2 linked regions of the Alligator mississippiensis genome follow. The protein of the gene in region 1 purifies or fractionates together with the protein of each later gene. This does not show direct contact. Links are inferred from orthologs where the notes say so. Each region holds a gene or a part of one and is shown in the gene's direction. Other genes may lie near its edges.

Region 1 (7,879 bases):
TCCAAAAAAAAAAATAGAAAAATTTTGATTTTTATCAATTCCAGCTGTCTGAAAGTTGGAGGGGAGGCAGCAACATTGAAGTTTACCTGTAACCTTCTAAAAATTATGTGAATGCCTGTGGATCCATGTTTAGTAACTATACTAACTTAAAACAAACAGTAAAGGCAAATAATATTTTGCTGTTATATTACACCTGTCAATCAAACAGGTAAAGAGTCGATTAAGACTCCTGGTCCCCTGGAAGGAAGGCAGGCATTTGGAAGATTACAGGTAAACTTCAATTGGCTCAATGTTGCTGGGGCACCCCAGAACTTCCAGGCAACTGAAATTGCTAGAAATTATTTTAATACTATTTGTGGGGGGAGGGAGAGCAGGGAAATAACAAAACAAAAAGTTAATGAATTATCCACAAATTAGGTACTTTTTTTCTTCCCATTGTACAGGAGTTTTATACACATGAAAGCAGAAATAGAGAAAATTAAGGATTTGTCCAAAGTCACATACCAACTTACTGGCTGTTGGCAGATCTGAGAGTAGAGTCCACACCTCTGTTCCAAGATGTACGTCATTAACTGCAACAGTGTAAACACTACTTCAAAACATTTCCATTTATATTAGGTAACAGGTATTAGCTGGACAGTTCTGATTTAATACTGGTACTTATTATAGATTTCCCATTTTATACTGTACAGCTTATTTGGTCAACTAAGAAAGTGATTGGCTCATGGATTTGTTTTTGTTTTAATTTAAAATATTTTATTTATTAAAAAAAAGACAGTAAAATACTGAGATGGAGCACAGCTCACAGAGTATGATGGCGTCAATTGAACAGATTTGTGGACTTTTATGAAAATGTAAGGCTCTCTGGATTCTCTTGACATTGCTTGGAACAGAACAGTGTTGGAGACAAGAAGGTAAAGGCTGAGCTGCAGCTGTGGCTTTTAAGCAGGCTGAGATAGAGCTAAATGAGGTAAGGCAGTGGGTGTAAGTTTTTACATCCTCTTGGAGGTCAGGGGATGGGTGGGTGATGTTAGAAGGATTTGTTCATTGTGTTCTGACCCTGCAAGGGGGTTCATCTGCACAAATCTGGGGGTCATAGTAAAAAAACCAAGAAGAAACCTGCACAGAAAACTAAACAAAAGCTTGTGAAATCCCAAGGGTCACATAACAAACAAGACGAAATCCCAAAGTGAAATCACAGGCTGTCACATAACAAATAAATTACATGAAAAAGTTTATCCATCACCCAGTCTATCTTCCTTAAATTTAAACAGTATGTTGGTAAAGTCAAAAAACTAAACTCAGAACAGAGCCTTAAAGCAGCAGCAACTTACTTGGAGTCTTCATATTCTACCCACTGGTACATTTCTACATTACGTTTGAGTTTGACAGTCTGAATGGAAAGCCCATAGCTGGGATCGAACAAAGGCTGTTTAAATACAAACACACACAATTCAGCATAAAAATACCTGCATATTTTTGCTAGCAAAGTTGATCTGTTCAAGTTTATGTTGGGGAAATCATACTTTGTTATGCCACAAAAGGGATTTCATGGAAATGTTTTCACTTCAAAATGTTAAAAAAGAAAAAAAGAACAAAACTCTCAAGACCCAAAGTAAATTTTAAAAAGTGGGGTAATGAAACAATGCATTAGAAACAGTATAATTCTGCACTACTGCTGTGTATCTTTTTTCAGAGGATTTTTAAGAACTCTATTTATGTTAATTATACTTTCCAAAGCCACGTGAATAAAAGGAAATGTGCACATTGGGTGGATAATCAAATTTCACTCTGGTACAAATGATAAATTCCATGAAGTGACTGATATACCAGCAATGGATGCAGTATAAAAAGTCTTGGCACAGGAGGGAGTGCATGCTATCTATTTAGAGCAGTGATAAATTTGGCCTGAAGAAAGTGAGACAAGCCTGTGGAAAGGCAGGCAACATAACCAGGTGTCCTGGCTCACTGTCCCTTACTCAAAGCATTCAACCATGCTTGAACAGATTTAAAATGAACCCTTTGTCTTCTCTGCTGGCCATTATTTCATCATGACATGCCTTGGAAAAAGAACTAACCACAACATAATTATATCTGATCTAACAAGAAGATGTGCAGCTTCCACATCAGATCCTCAAGTCTTTGCATCTTTTTGAATGCAATGACAAGTCCCAAAATCTCTACAGTACAGATGTGAGGAAGAATTGAAAACATCAACATACTCAGGTAGGGCATGTTTAGATTCCAAAGTATTTCTGCATATCAAGTATGCCTGGTTTTAACTGGCAGAAGAGCTTTCCATTCCCTCAACTTATGCACTAATTTTTGGCCACTATTATTTTACTTGCCTTTGATGTTGCAAGGGCACCAGACAAATGCACTAGTTTCCCCTCATTTTGTTGAGACACGGTGCGTATGTTGTCAAGAGGAATTACAAGAGACAAGCCCTCATCAAGAGAGGTGGCTGTCTTCAAAGCTCGTCCCTGCAGTCAATTAAAAGAGAATACAATGAAAAAAAAACGAGGAAGAATCTTGAATTAACGAATGAACCAACCAGAAGACTGTGTCACAAATTCCACAAAATGCTAGCATGATCAGGCACATGGCATGAAACATCTGTACTTATTTGTTGTTTCAATCTTAATGCCCGATTTTTACTTGAAAGAACAATACTTCTTCATGCAACTAAACCACTAAAGTTAATGTACATACTCACCAGCACAATATTCCTACCATGATACCCTAAAATTATTTTCTTCCTTTTGACCTTAGTCACTAATGATAGTATGGATGCTACTATGGCGTTATTTTACCATACAATTATTCTGACTGGTTGATAATATTCCCTTCCTTAACTTCAGGTTATTGCTCTTTATGCTACACACTTCTGTTTGAGATAGCAAAAATTCTTTTTCTTCATTTATGTAGGTAGCATGCTAGAAGCTTTTTGTTTTCTGGGTGAAGCTCTGAAATTTCACCAAATTCTGTCTCCACTCCAAGATTTCCAGTCAGATCAGATTAAAAATACTTTCAGGATAAAGGAAAGCCTTAATCCTGCAAACTCTTATGCACATACTTAAGGTTTGCTAGCACAAGTAGCTCATTTAATTCTGGGAGATGTATTACAGGTAGTGGAGCTGAGGGCCTGAGTATTTGCAGAATCAGAACTAAAATTAGCCTCAAATTAAAACAAACAGTTTGAAACTAGAGTATTAAATAACCTGTAGTATAGCTAATTACTCAGTTTTGTGGAGATTAAACTAGCTTTACACACTTACACTATAGTTCAGATAAGTTCTAACAGTTTTCTGAGCAAGCATGGGAAAGATGGGAATGTAAAAATAAGGTTTTAGGAATATGGTTGCTTACTTACTTGTGGCTACTATTTGTTTTGACACAAGCAAAGCAAGTCAACTAGAGTATGAAATCTATAGCCTCCCCTATGCAATAGTACAACAGAATCATTAACTCCCTTTGTTGTACAAAAGGGGGAAGCGACTTACACGAGAGGCACTTGCACACAGAAGGCATGTGCAAATCCATGTAATGCTCTTCAGTTCCACTTGCCACCTAATATTTATTCATTCTTCCCTGTACTCCACTGCTTACTCTGGATGTTCCCGTCACGTCCCTTCATATTCAGTTCTCAAAAACTCTCATAAACAGCTCTCCTATCCAATATCCTACTCCTCTATTATGTCCCCAACTCAGCCAGTGATAGGATTCAGGCTCTTCCCATATGTTCCACCTTTCTCACACATGAATTAATAACAAAGCTTAGAGGACAGCCCAAATGCTTTGCAGTTTGACATTACAAACACTCAGGTAAGAAAGAATTTGACTGGAAGTGCCATAGACTCGAGACATACAGGAAAACATTGGCTTGACATGCAATTCACATACCTCATTGGTAAAAAGCACGTAGAAAGAAAGGGAAAACGACACAAACCCAATCAGCATCCCCCCAGATGTCTCACTGAGCCGCTCCAGGAACCCTGGTTTGGGCTCACTGGTAATTTTAACATGTTCTTTTCTGCTGCTTGCGTCAGAGACCTGTTAATGGAAAACAAAAATGAAATGTTAGAGACAGCAAACTGGCACGTATGCATGGAAGGATCTATCAAGAAACACGTAGGAAATTTCTAATGATTATCAGTATAACGTGATATATTATATTCCTACCACCACAAAACCACTTGGGGACGGATCAGACCTTTAGTTTAAAATGCACCCACTGGTTTAGATTCTCTCTGTTAACTGCTGCCTTACCTTGTTTTCATTAATTTTTTAATGACCCTGCTGCTCTGCTTTCTGCTCCCTGCCCTGTGCCCCCAGCCTGATCTGCTGCCCCTCCTACGCCTAGCTGCTCCCAACCCTGACCTGCCGCTCTGCTTTCTGCTCCCAGCATCGCCCCCAGGACAGGCGGACACGCGGGGCCCTCGGCGCGGGGCAGCACTTACGTTCCGCGACATCCTCACGGGTGCGGGCACTGCACGATGGCGCGGGGCATGCCGGGAGTTGTAGTTTCGCAGCCGCGAGGCACGCCGGGAGTCAGGCGGGCCGCCGCGAGGCGTGCCGGGAAAGCGAATCCTGGCGCGGGCGGGGAAGGAGAAGCGCGGCCTATGCAAAGCATGCCGGGAGGGGTCATTTGCAGCCGAGGGTGGCCACGAAGGTGCCTGCGCTTAGCTGCCGGCTGAACTCCTCCGAAGCGGCCCTCAGCAGGCAGAAGCAGGGTGCTGGGTGCTCCCCAGGGTGTCCCCGCAGCACCTCGTGCTCCCCCTTTCGCTGCTTGCCAGCAGGCAGTGCGGAGACAGCCTAGGGGCCTTCCTCTCGCAGCGTGGAGACCGGGCGGACGGGGCACCGGTGGGGTCAGTCAGCGCCGGGCGCGCGAGTCCCTCACCATGTCCTACTGCCGGCAGGAAGGTGCGTCCCGGTGGGGGGAGGGCGCCGGGGGGCAGCCTCGTTCCCGTCCGCGCTCTCGCGGTCCTTCGTGGAGCGTTACATGTAACGTGTGTCCTGGCCCGGCTGTGCGCGCAAGGGCGCTGTGAGCCGTGCCGCCGGCTCGGACGGAGAGAGCTCGAGGAGGCGCGGTGCCTTTATCGCTGGTGGCTGCTCAGGCCTAGCTTGCCCGCCTAGCAGGGCGCTGCGACTGCGCTAGAGGGCACGCCCGAGCTGTGCGCTGGGAACCGCGCTATAAATGTAGACCGGCCACACGTGCAAAGTAAGACTGGCTCTGAGCACCAAGTAATGATCGCACCATTAATAGGTAAATCACGCTATAAATGTAGCCCGGACACATGTACAAAATAAGACTAGCCCCAAGCGCCAAGTAGTCATCACACCATTAATAGGTGAATTGCGCTATAAATGCAGACCAGCCCCACGCAGAAAGTAAGACTGCCCACGCCACAAGTGCTTAGTAATTATTGTACAATTTAATTGGTGACTCGCACAATGAGTTTAGACCAGCCATGCTGGCAAAATAACTATCGCTCAATTAACTAGTGATAGTAAAGGGAAGAAATTCCGCTGATACATAGTCTTGAACCATCTTAATTCTTGAACCATCTTAATTCTTTATTTGTAGTGTTTGCATCTTCAGATCCCTGCTCCTCAGTGATGTGAGCTTTGTCCTCGGGTCACAGCAGGGTGTTGTGAGCTCTAGAGGCTGAACCTCAGCTCTAGTTCCATAGGTAGCTAAACTATAAAAATAAATCATTTTTACAGTTTTGACAAGTAACAGTTAAGACTGCTGAAAAGTATCATAGATTAATTACCATATAGGGAAGATAGTTGCTAAAAAAAGACAGTTGTCCCTTGAAGGGCACTGATTCCTCTAGATGACCTTGACAGTAGCAAGCATGCTGAGGTTAATCAAATGGATGTTTTACTGCAAAAATTATGCTCCCTCCCAACTTGTGTGGTGTTCTTAGCTTCTTTGTTCTGGTTTGTGTAACTTGTCTGTTGTGATGTGGGAACATGGCTGCAACCAATTAGATATGTTATGGGACTTATATAAGCTTTCTCCTGCAGAGGACTATTGGACAAGATAAATAATGTGATGTGATACATCAGTTAACTTGTAAGAAATGTTAGGTGTGTTTTGGGAAGGTGGGGTTTTGCATTCTAAACTACGCTATGTTACCTAACTTTTTGAAAGAGACTTCAGAAAAAATCAACAACTTTTTTTTTTTTTATGTGAAAGTTCAGCCATTAAAATCTGGTTCTTTTCCCTTGAGTAGAGTTCCCTTGGTAGGTGTGATCAGCAATAGATGTTTTTAAGGAGCACATGCTCTTTTTAATATGACTTCAACCTTTATAGTTTCATAGTTGGTAGGGTCGGAAGGGACCTGAGGAGATCATCTAGTCCGACCCCCTGCTGTGGCAGGAAAGAGTACTGGGGTCAAATGACCCCAGCAAGGTGTTCGTCTAGCCTCCTTTTAAAGACCCCCAGGGTAGGAGCCAGCACCACTTCTCTTGGAAGTTGGTTCCAGGTCCTAGCCACCCTGACAGTGAAATAGCACCTCCTAATGTCTAGCCTGAAACTACCCTCCGCTAGCTTGTGTCTGTTGTTTCTTGTAACTCCTGGGATTGCTTGGGGGGAACAGGGACTCTCCCAATGCCTGCTGGTCCCCCTTGACTAGTCCCCCCTCAGCCTTCTCTTTTGGAGGCTGAACAGGTTCAGGTCCCTCAGCCTCTCCTCATAGGGCCTGCCGTGCTGCCCCCTGATCATGCGGGTGGCCCTCCTCTGGACCCTCTCCACATCCCTCCTGAAGTGCGGCGCCCAGAACTGGACGCAGAACTCTAGCTGCGGCCTGACCAGTGCTGCATAGAGGGGGAGGATCACCTCCTTGGACCTGCTTGAGATGCATCTGTGGATGTACGACAGGGTATGGTTGGCCTTCCTGACCGTGTCCCCACACTGTCGGCCCATGTTCATTGAGGCATCAGTGATGACTCCGAGATCCTTTTCTGTCTCAACACTGGCGAGAAGGGAGGTAAAATTCACCTTAAGTTGACTGAAGTAAATACACTTGAAATTTTAAAAAATTTTTAGCTATCTTAACTAGCGGTTCATTGATAAAGATTTTTTTTTGGCTCATACCAATAGCCAATTATTAACCAGCCATATTGGCCGATACTGATCCAATAGTCAATGTGCAGCCTGGCTGTTAAGCCTGTGCTGGAGGGGGGAGGGGGAGGAGCAGGCAGATTGACGCCCCCACGATGAGGGAGGAAGTGGGGCTGGGGCAGGCATTGCCCAGCTGGGGCAGGGCAGGGCATGGGGTGGAGCTGCAGGCAGCTTTTCCGGGGGAGGGAGCGGCTCCCCAAAACTGTGCACTGTTTGGGGTGGCATGGGGGGCATGTGCCCCCTGCATTTGTGGGCTGGGCGAGGGCAGGCTGCGAGGTCGGGGCCAAGGGCTTCGCTGGCCACTTCCCAGCAGGAGTGCTGGGCCAGGGCTGCGCTCAGGGCAGGCGAGGGTGGGAGTGGGGGCGGGATGGGCTCAGCTGCACAGGGCGGGCAGCAGCACTGGAAGAGGTGGCATTGGGGCCACGGAGCTATGGCCACCCCAAAGTTCTCCGTCGCCACCCCTTCCGCCACCACTGCTGCCCACCTTGCGCAACTGAGCCTGCCCTGAGTACAGCTCTGGCTCAGCCTCCTGCTGGGAAGAGGTCAGAGCAGCCCCTGGCCCTGAGCCTGCAGCGGGCAGCCCACCCTCACCTTGTACACAAATCTGTGGGGCACAGGCCCCACATGCTTCCCCCAGGGGTGCATGCAGCAGCAGGGAGCTGCCCCCCAGTCCCCCCAGCAAGCTGCCCATGGCCCTGCCCTGTGCCCCACCATGCCCAAGCCCCACTCCCTCCCTCACTGTGGGGG
Region 2 (7,732 bases), on another chromosome or scaffold:
TGAGCAGTGTTGCTGTTAAAGTCTTAAGAGACTGCCAAAAGGCAGATTGCTAGGCCACCATCCACTGAAGACCTGGTCATGTTCCTGAGCACTTGGTTGGAAGGAGGTTTCAGGTGAGATGGTGGGGACCTTACCTCACTGTGGCCCACCCCTGTAATGGCATATCATGCCTTGGGAACTGTATCTGCTGCTGCTGGTCATGGCTCAAAAATCAGTGGGAGCTGGAGGTTTTGGCACTCCAAGCCCCAACCTCCAACCAGATCACGGTCGGTGCCTTCATGGTGAGGATCAGCCTAAAGGGGTTCCTGGAACAGGCCATGGGGTGAAGTACATCAACAATTTGAAGGGGAAACTAAACCATAGCAAAGTCTTCAAGGTTACCTTCAAATGGGATACCAGCAACCACTTTCTGCCTCAGGGAAACTTGGTTCACTTTACAGACAGGTGCTTCACCTATTCAGCTTACTTCAACTATTTCCATAACAGCACCTTCCATGGCAACTGGGACGAGGTGCTGGAGCTGCCACTTTGAGAACAAGCCTCTGCTCCATGTCCCATGTGGCTGCAAATCGCACGCAAGAATATGGCAACTTTGCAACAATACCATACAGGACTGGCTGGTCCCAGTCATCTTGGTATCAGTAGGGACAAAAACCACATGGTCCCAGCCTGCAGCAGCCCACCGAGACTGGACATTGTCTTGTCATCACTAACGAAGATAGTAAGAAAATCCTGATTGTCGATGTGACCAGCCCCTTTAAAAACCAGTGGCAGGCTTTTGCTAAAACCTGGGAGTGAAAGCTGATGAAGTACAGCCTGAGACACTGGGAAGAAAGGGATACAATGTGATGGTGCAGGAGTTGAGCATCAATGTGTTTGGTGCATGGGATCCAAGCAATGATAGCATCCTGAGTGCCTGCAGAATACCTAGCACTACTTCAAGATGATGAGGCACTTTGTGGTCACCACCATCAGATGGTCAACGGCTGGCTATCATTGGTAGAAAGAGAACCAACAGAGGACATCAGCCAGAAGCAAAAGTGGGGAGCAAGACTACAAGAGACACCACCACTATACTGTATAGACTCTAATGAAAACCAAACACATTTCTGTTTGTACTTCACCCTGGGCAAATGTAGACTGCATGTTAAATGCAATGCATCAGACTGTTCTGTCATCCTCCAGCAGTGTGTACCATTGTGCAGGGTCCCATATTTCTCATAGGTATACTGTACCACATAAAAGTTTCAGTTAACATTCTCTCTGCCATTGGGGGACTGGAAAGGGAAAAGAAGCGTTTCTCTCATTGAACTGGTGCAGATTGAAAGAGGTGGGAAATCACTGATCTCTCTGCACAGTGGGATCCTGATCTTAGCTAGAGTGTTTTGTTGCTACCATAATACAAATAATCATCTGCTGTTATTTGTTATGTTGGAAGCATGTTAGAAAGATATTTTTCTCAACTCAGTGTCCATTTAGAAAATACAGGTTCTAGCCCTTTTCCTGTTGGCCTTTTTGATCACTTCATTAAATCAGCTTTGCTTATTAAAAAAAAAAGTTTAGGAACTGGTTTGAAAATTAGCTTCTATAAATGAAAATAGCAATATTCAACATACTACCTGTCCCTATAATAGTGATGTTGACAGAATTAGCCATAAGAACAAGCTACTCACAAGACACAGGAACTAAAAGGCTGGCCTAAAATTCCCAACCTCCTCTTAGCAAAAGGATCAGAGATGTGATCTGATACTGTCTAGAAAACTGGAAGTATACTGCACAGGGTGAGCCATATTTAAGGAAATGTTTAAGTTCTTATAAGTTTCTTCTTCAAAGTTACTGAAACATGTCATCTAGTTCCTACTGTGTGAACATTCCCTTAATCCATGTTCACTAACAGAATATAAATGCTGCAGGATGCATGATGATGATAAAGCCAGAAGGAATCATTATGATGAGTGAGACTAACCCCTGCGCATAATGCAAGCCAAGGGATTTTATACTAGCAAGTCCTTCACTGCAGGGACTTATTCCTCTCTGCGCTCACTCCTGGCCTGGCTGGAAGGTGCACACTAGGGCTGTGTGAAATTTTGCTGCCCGTTTTGTTTCAACGCTGTTTCAAGCCATTTCGACCTCGAAACAGCAAAGTCAAAACAGAACAGGCAGGGCTGAAACAGGGTCGAAACAAAACAGGGCAGGTCAAAACGTTTGGAAAAATTCAAAACGTTTCGAGTTTGGACCAGGAAGCTGGGCTATGGGCTTACCTTCAATGGCTTGGCTTGCTTCCCTGCGGGGAAAGAGAAAGTAAAGTAAGGGGATGGAGGGGGAGAGGTGAGTGGGAAGGAGTGCTGTCATTATTGACATGTGTAACTGGCCAGTGCCTGTCACCCTTCTCTGAGGTCCTTTCCAACCCCATTGCTCTGGGGGAGGGACAGAAAAACTGCATAAAAGGCAGCATTTTTTGGACCTGCTCCTGCTTTCTGCCTTGGGTGACTTATTGAGCTGTCTATTCTAGCAGCTCACTGTCAGACCACTAGGGCTAGCAGCACTGATTTTCTAAAGGGTTCCCTGCTTGTTACTGTAGCGAGAGGGATTTCAGAATACCTTTTTCTTGTAGGTGCTTTTATTATTGTATTCATTGATTTATTCTTTTGAATTTTATACTTATATTGGATAGGGTTACTATAGAACCTATTCTATATAGGAATTTACTATATATATTTGTTTTTATACGGACATTCTTTGCACCATACCAACGCTATTGAATTTATATCCACAGACATATATATTTCTACCATGTTCATAAATCTCTTGCCTGCACCAGTAGTACAGATTTGAGTTTATATAGGAACACAAATACATTTATATATTTCTTGAAAAGGAAGTCCTGAAACACCTCATGAAGAGTGGTAGAAAGGCAAGTGGCAACACTGGCCAGCCTTCAGGGAGGGGTGGAAGAGGGAGAGCTGTAAGTCCCCCCTACCCCTCACCAAACTGAGACGCAGCCTCTTTCCTCCAGCTGAAAGGGATGAGGCCGCTAAAAGCAGCAAGGAGAGGGGAGTGGTGCCACTGCCACTGCCCCGCCCAAGACTGCATCCCCTCCACGCTCAGCAGCCATAACCGCACCCCACCATGACCACAACCAGCAGCACCAGCACCATCGCAGCAGTCTACTCCACCCCTATGTCACTTCCCATGCTGAGCCTTCCAGTGCCAGAAGAAGAGCTGGCGCTGGATCTGGATCTCAGTGCCCTAGCAAGGGAAATTCTGGGGAAGGAGGGGGAATCAGCTGAGTTTGTGCTTGGAATTCTGGCACACTGCAACCTGCTGGACATCTGACACCCTAGGTACCTCTGCACTTTTACATCCCCCTTTCCACCTCACCCTTTCCCTCACCCTCACGCCTCCATTTCCATTTTCACTGACTGCCTTTCTTGCCTGCATTGCGTGCCAGGCCAGCCTCTGGCTTCTTTACTATTCCTTCCATCCAGGACCAAGAGACACACCAACCGCAGGTACTTCCTCAGCCTGACAAAGGGTTTTTCAACCTGAAAGCTTCCTAAGAGATATTTCTCTATTCCTTTTTTTTTCATAAAGAACATACAAACATAAAAACACAGGATAAGCCATCACACACACCACGAGTAACATATATCCAACACAACATCTTTACTTCTTGCTGTCAATTCCTTTACAAGAAAGGCTCTGTGACAGTTGTTTGGCTACTTTAGATGCTGCTGGTGCTATTGCTGTTGAGCCAGCTACGTTTTCACCTGCCATCATTTACTGTGGTAGACTGGACTGAGGCTGTAGGGGAGGAGGACTCACTGGGGCACACTGCTGTGTCGTGCAGAGGCCCCAGTGCCAGGAAGGGCGCACCTGAACACACAGAGTCACCCACCCATGTCATGAGTTTTGCCTGTCACCAGCCAGAGGTGTAGGGCCCCAGAACCCAGAGTGCCGCTGCACCTCTCATTGAGACCTGGTAGGCTTCATTACTTCAGCAGGGGCTAGCAAGCCTGCAGTTTTGACCCCGCTGTGGCTTCACACATACAAGTGATAGGACTTTTGCTCTCAAGACTTTGGGGTGCAGTTTCTTTGAACCCCCCTACATCTATCTCCTTGAAGCTTGGCAGGCTTCATGCCCTCGTAAGGGGCTATCATTCCTGCAAGTTTCATCTAAATCAGGCCAGAAATGACAAAGTTATAGCCTGTTTTGACCTTCCCCATTATATCCTACGGGGGAAATGTCAAAACAGGTTCGAAATGTAGAAATGTTTCCACAGAACGATACGGAACAGCCGTTTCGACTCGAAACAAAACGCTGTTCCGTCGAACCGTTGGTCGAAACAGAATGCTTCCGTTTCGCGCAGACCTAACGCACGCTGCTCCTTTATCTTCGATCTGCTACCAAAGGTCACAAGAGCAATATTGTGCTACTTGTCTTCAGCAGAGCAGGGTGAGGGAAGAGTTAGGGCCAGATCCAAGTACTGTCTGTAAAACATCTCTGAATGGTAGGAGGAGGCTGTAAAGGAAATCCTTTTCCGACCTTCTTGAGCCCATGAAAAACTGTTACCGTCAGAGAGCGCTTGCTTCTTTTTGTGACTTTGTCCAATTTAGGCTTAAAACTTAGGCACGTTGCTGTTTTTTTCAGGAACTTGAGCTGGCTGGAATAAGATCATGCTTAGCCTCTCGGAAACCACGGGGCAACATGGCGGGGGCACAGGCGGCACAAGCTCGTCCTGCCGCCTCAGAGGCGAAAGCCCGTCCGGCCCCCGCCGCCCAACTGGTCCGGTAGGACCTGCCTCATGCCAAGGGTCCGCTCTGGGCTGCTCCACGTCGCGCCCGGGAGGCTGTTTTCACTGCGCCCGCTGGAGGGCGGCCTCGCCCGGGCCGGGCTCTCCCAGCTCTGCTCCTCGCTGCTCCGAGCCGGGGGCGGCGCCGCAGCCGCTGCCCGTCACAAGCGGCGCCGGTAAGCAGCGGCTGCAGACGCGGCGTCGGCCCGGACTGCGCGCACCCCGGCGGCCGCAGGGAGGGGAGAGGGAGACGAACCCGGACCGGATCAGGCCCGAAGCCATGTCACTCGCCCACGCTACGCCGCGGGCCCCGCTGAGGCCGTGCTGCGCCGCCGAGCCGAGGGCCCCACAAGATGGCGGCCCCGAGCCAGGCGCGGCCGAGCCGGGGGATGCTAGCACTTCCGGCCCCAAGCACAGCGGAGCGGAAGTGCGCGTTCTGGCCCCGCCCTCGGCGGGACGAACAGGGCGGGACTACGGCTCCTTGGAAACGGAAACGGAGGCGGCGGCGATGGCGGCTGGTGTGGGCTACGAGTTGCGCTCGCGGCAGCGGCCCCCGGCGGGGGAGACGCCGGCGGGACGTTGGGCGGGAGACGGGGCCTCGGGCAGGGCGAGGCCGTCGAACACCGCGCCCCGGCGCGGGATGCCTGACGCGCCGGCAGGTGAGCTGGAGGGCCCTGGGGCGGGGGCTGGTCCGGCCCCTCGCTGCGGCTACGCTCAGCCCCGTGCCCAGGGCAGGTGGCTGTGGCTGCCCTTCCCGCTTGCGCAGGGAGGCCCCTTCCCTTCCCTTCCGGTGCGGCGGCACCAGCCCCTCCGCTAGCAGGGAAATGCCCGAGGCGCCGCCCGCCCCGAGCCGCGGGAGCCATTGTGATGGCAGCACCTGCCCCGCTGCCGCCCCCACGGCTGCGGCTCTGCCCCCAGGAGGCGGCTCTTCGCGGAGGGCGGGTCGGCAGCTCGTGGCCCGCCGGCGGGGTGGTAGGGAAGGCTGCGAGAGAGGCCCCCCGCCTGGTGCCCGATGCCACAAGGAGCTTCCTGTGGGGTCGCTGCTAAAAATCTCTAGGGAGGTTTCATGGACTGGAGTCTCCTGAACTAGGGTAGCTTCCCCCCCCCCCCCCGGGGGTGTTCCCAACTGTGTTAGGTGCTAGTCCACCCAGCAAGGTGGTAGAGCGGGTACTGCATCACTAGAGGTGCAAATTGGGGCTTGGCTGAGCTGCAAATGGTTTCCCAGCCATTGTGGGTGGGTGGTCGGCAGTGGGCAGGTATGAAGGGAATCATCCACTTGCTCTCTTTTCTTGTCAGCCACCGAGCTGGTGTGCCACAACTGATCTGTCCCCCGCCCCTTCCCTCCCTACTCCCCCTTCTACCACAACAGACTTACCAGCTGCACACAGCTCTTCTCCTTGCCTACATTTATCTGCCACAGTATCAGGCACATCAGGCCGGTTTCTGATACAGTCGATTTTCTTTATATCGGTGCTGATCCGATATTGGACTGACGTATCATGCACCTCTAGCCAAGAGCGTTCTGCTACTTACTACCTTCTGCAAAGAAATTGCCTTCCTCCAAGCTTCTATGTAGCAAGACCTCTGGTTTCACAGTTCCCTGAAGTTTAGTTATTCCGTGATGGTTAGGATAGTTTCATCTGTGCTTAGTAGAGTGGAGTTACCCTGGGGTTTGTCTTTTTATTATTATTATTCTTGCCCTCTTTTACAAGACTGGGGGTTTTGCAAGGGGTTTGGGTGTGAGGAAATTAATTTCTTAATCCACTAATGATGTAAAGGGAAATTGACAATCCACAGATTATGATCACTGATGCTTTAGGGTTGAGTTGGGGGGCAAATTTGGTGTATGATTAAACATGGCGCATTCACAGAAATCACTCTCACATGGTGAACGAAAGGATAGGATTTGGAGTTTTTCTTGGATCGTATTGCTCATTCAGGATTGAATCCTACCTGTTTGCTTTTTTTTACTTTAGGCAAAGGCTTATTTTGACTTCTACATCCAAAATACAGACCTCTAGCACTTGAATTAATGGGCATCCTCTTCGTGGAATATCCATTACAGAGGGATGAGGGATGCTTTGCCAATGGCATTCAAACTTACTTCCCAGAAAGCTGGGAAACTTTGGGTCCTGGGGATCCTGGGATCATTTTCAGGGTCTAGATTCGATTGTGTCATAGTAGTTATAGATGCCTGTGCTCCTGTCCACCATACTTGTTTGCCTTTTTTTATACACAGCCTATTCTATTCCCACTCCCCTTCCTCTTGGCTTCTGCTGGTACCTTGCTCCTTTGCCCTAGATATACCATTCACTTTGTCCTCCCCGTCCCACAAATCTCAAGCATATGAACAAACTGCTTGAGGGTCTGGTGTGCCTGCAGTGGGGGAGGGAGTAGTTTAATAGTATTCTTGAAGGAATGGAATGGAATGGAATGGAATGGAATGGAATGGAATGGAATGGAATGGAATGGAATGGAATGGAGGGCTGAAGTGGTTGGGAGAAAGAAATGATGGCATGGTGCTTGAGCTTGTTATGCATTTAACACATTCTTTGTTTTAGGGAGTGAATATCCCTTTGTCAAATTGACTCGACCCAGCATAAGAAGTTTTCAAAGGGAAGGTAAGTAGTGATTTCTACACCCAGTGGAGGAGCTTTTCACTCCTTGCAGTCTAATACTATTGAAACAGATTTCTAGGGAGTATAGATCAGTGGTGAAAGCAGGGAGTAGGAACTGGGGGATGGCCTTGGTTCCCTTTCCAGTTTTACCATTGATTTGTTGTATAATGTTGGGCACTTAATCTTGCACCTCATATGTTTACCTTTCAAAAGGGGAACAGTGCTCTGGTATCTTGTAAGAATTTTTGAAGATTGATTGATTCTCCCAGCAAGGATGCTGTTGGGGGTGTCATCATGCAGTGTTAGCACTGTTAAGTGTGC

What was found. Proteins that work in one complex are often made in the same cells at the same time.
Region 2: the proteins of CHCHD4 (region 1) and TOR1AIP1 purify together in Homo sapiens (co-immunoprecipitation; 3 studies listed by BioGRID and IntAct, with this or other methods). This does not show direct contact. The link is inferred for Alligator mississippiensis from reciprocal best matches to the Homo sapiens genes CHCHD4 and TOR1AIP1.

The regions. Positions count from the first base shown.
Region 1 is NC_081835.1:16,918,786-16,926,664, forward strand, and holds the start of CHCHD4 (mitochondrial intermembrane space import and assembly protein 40), read left to right. Parts: upstream 1-4,803; 5' UTR 4,804-4,901; coding exon 4,902-4,923; intron 4,924-4,946; exon of another isoform or gene 4,947-5,247; coding exon of another isoform or gene 5,248-5,266; intron 5,267-7,879. Other genes in the region: TMEM43 (transmembrane protein 43), read right to left, coding at 1,335-1,429, 2,349-2,483, 3,904-4,053, 4,461-4,472.
Region 2 is NC_081828.1:51,637,076-51,644,807, forward strand, and holds the start of TOR1AIP1 (torsin-1A-interacting protein 1), read left to right. Parts: upstream 1-4,677; coding exon 4,678-5,452; intron 5,453-7,354; coding exon 7,355-7,414; intron 7,415-7,732. UniProt on the Homo sapiens protein: Required for nuclear membrane integrity. Induces TOR1A and TOR1B ATPase activity and is required for their location on the nuclear membrane. Binds to A- and B-type lamins. Possible role in membrane attachment and assembly of the nuclear lamina.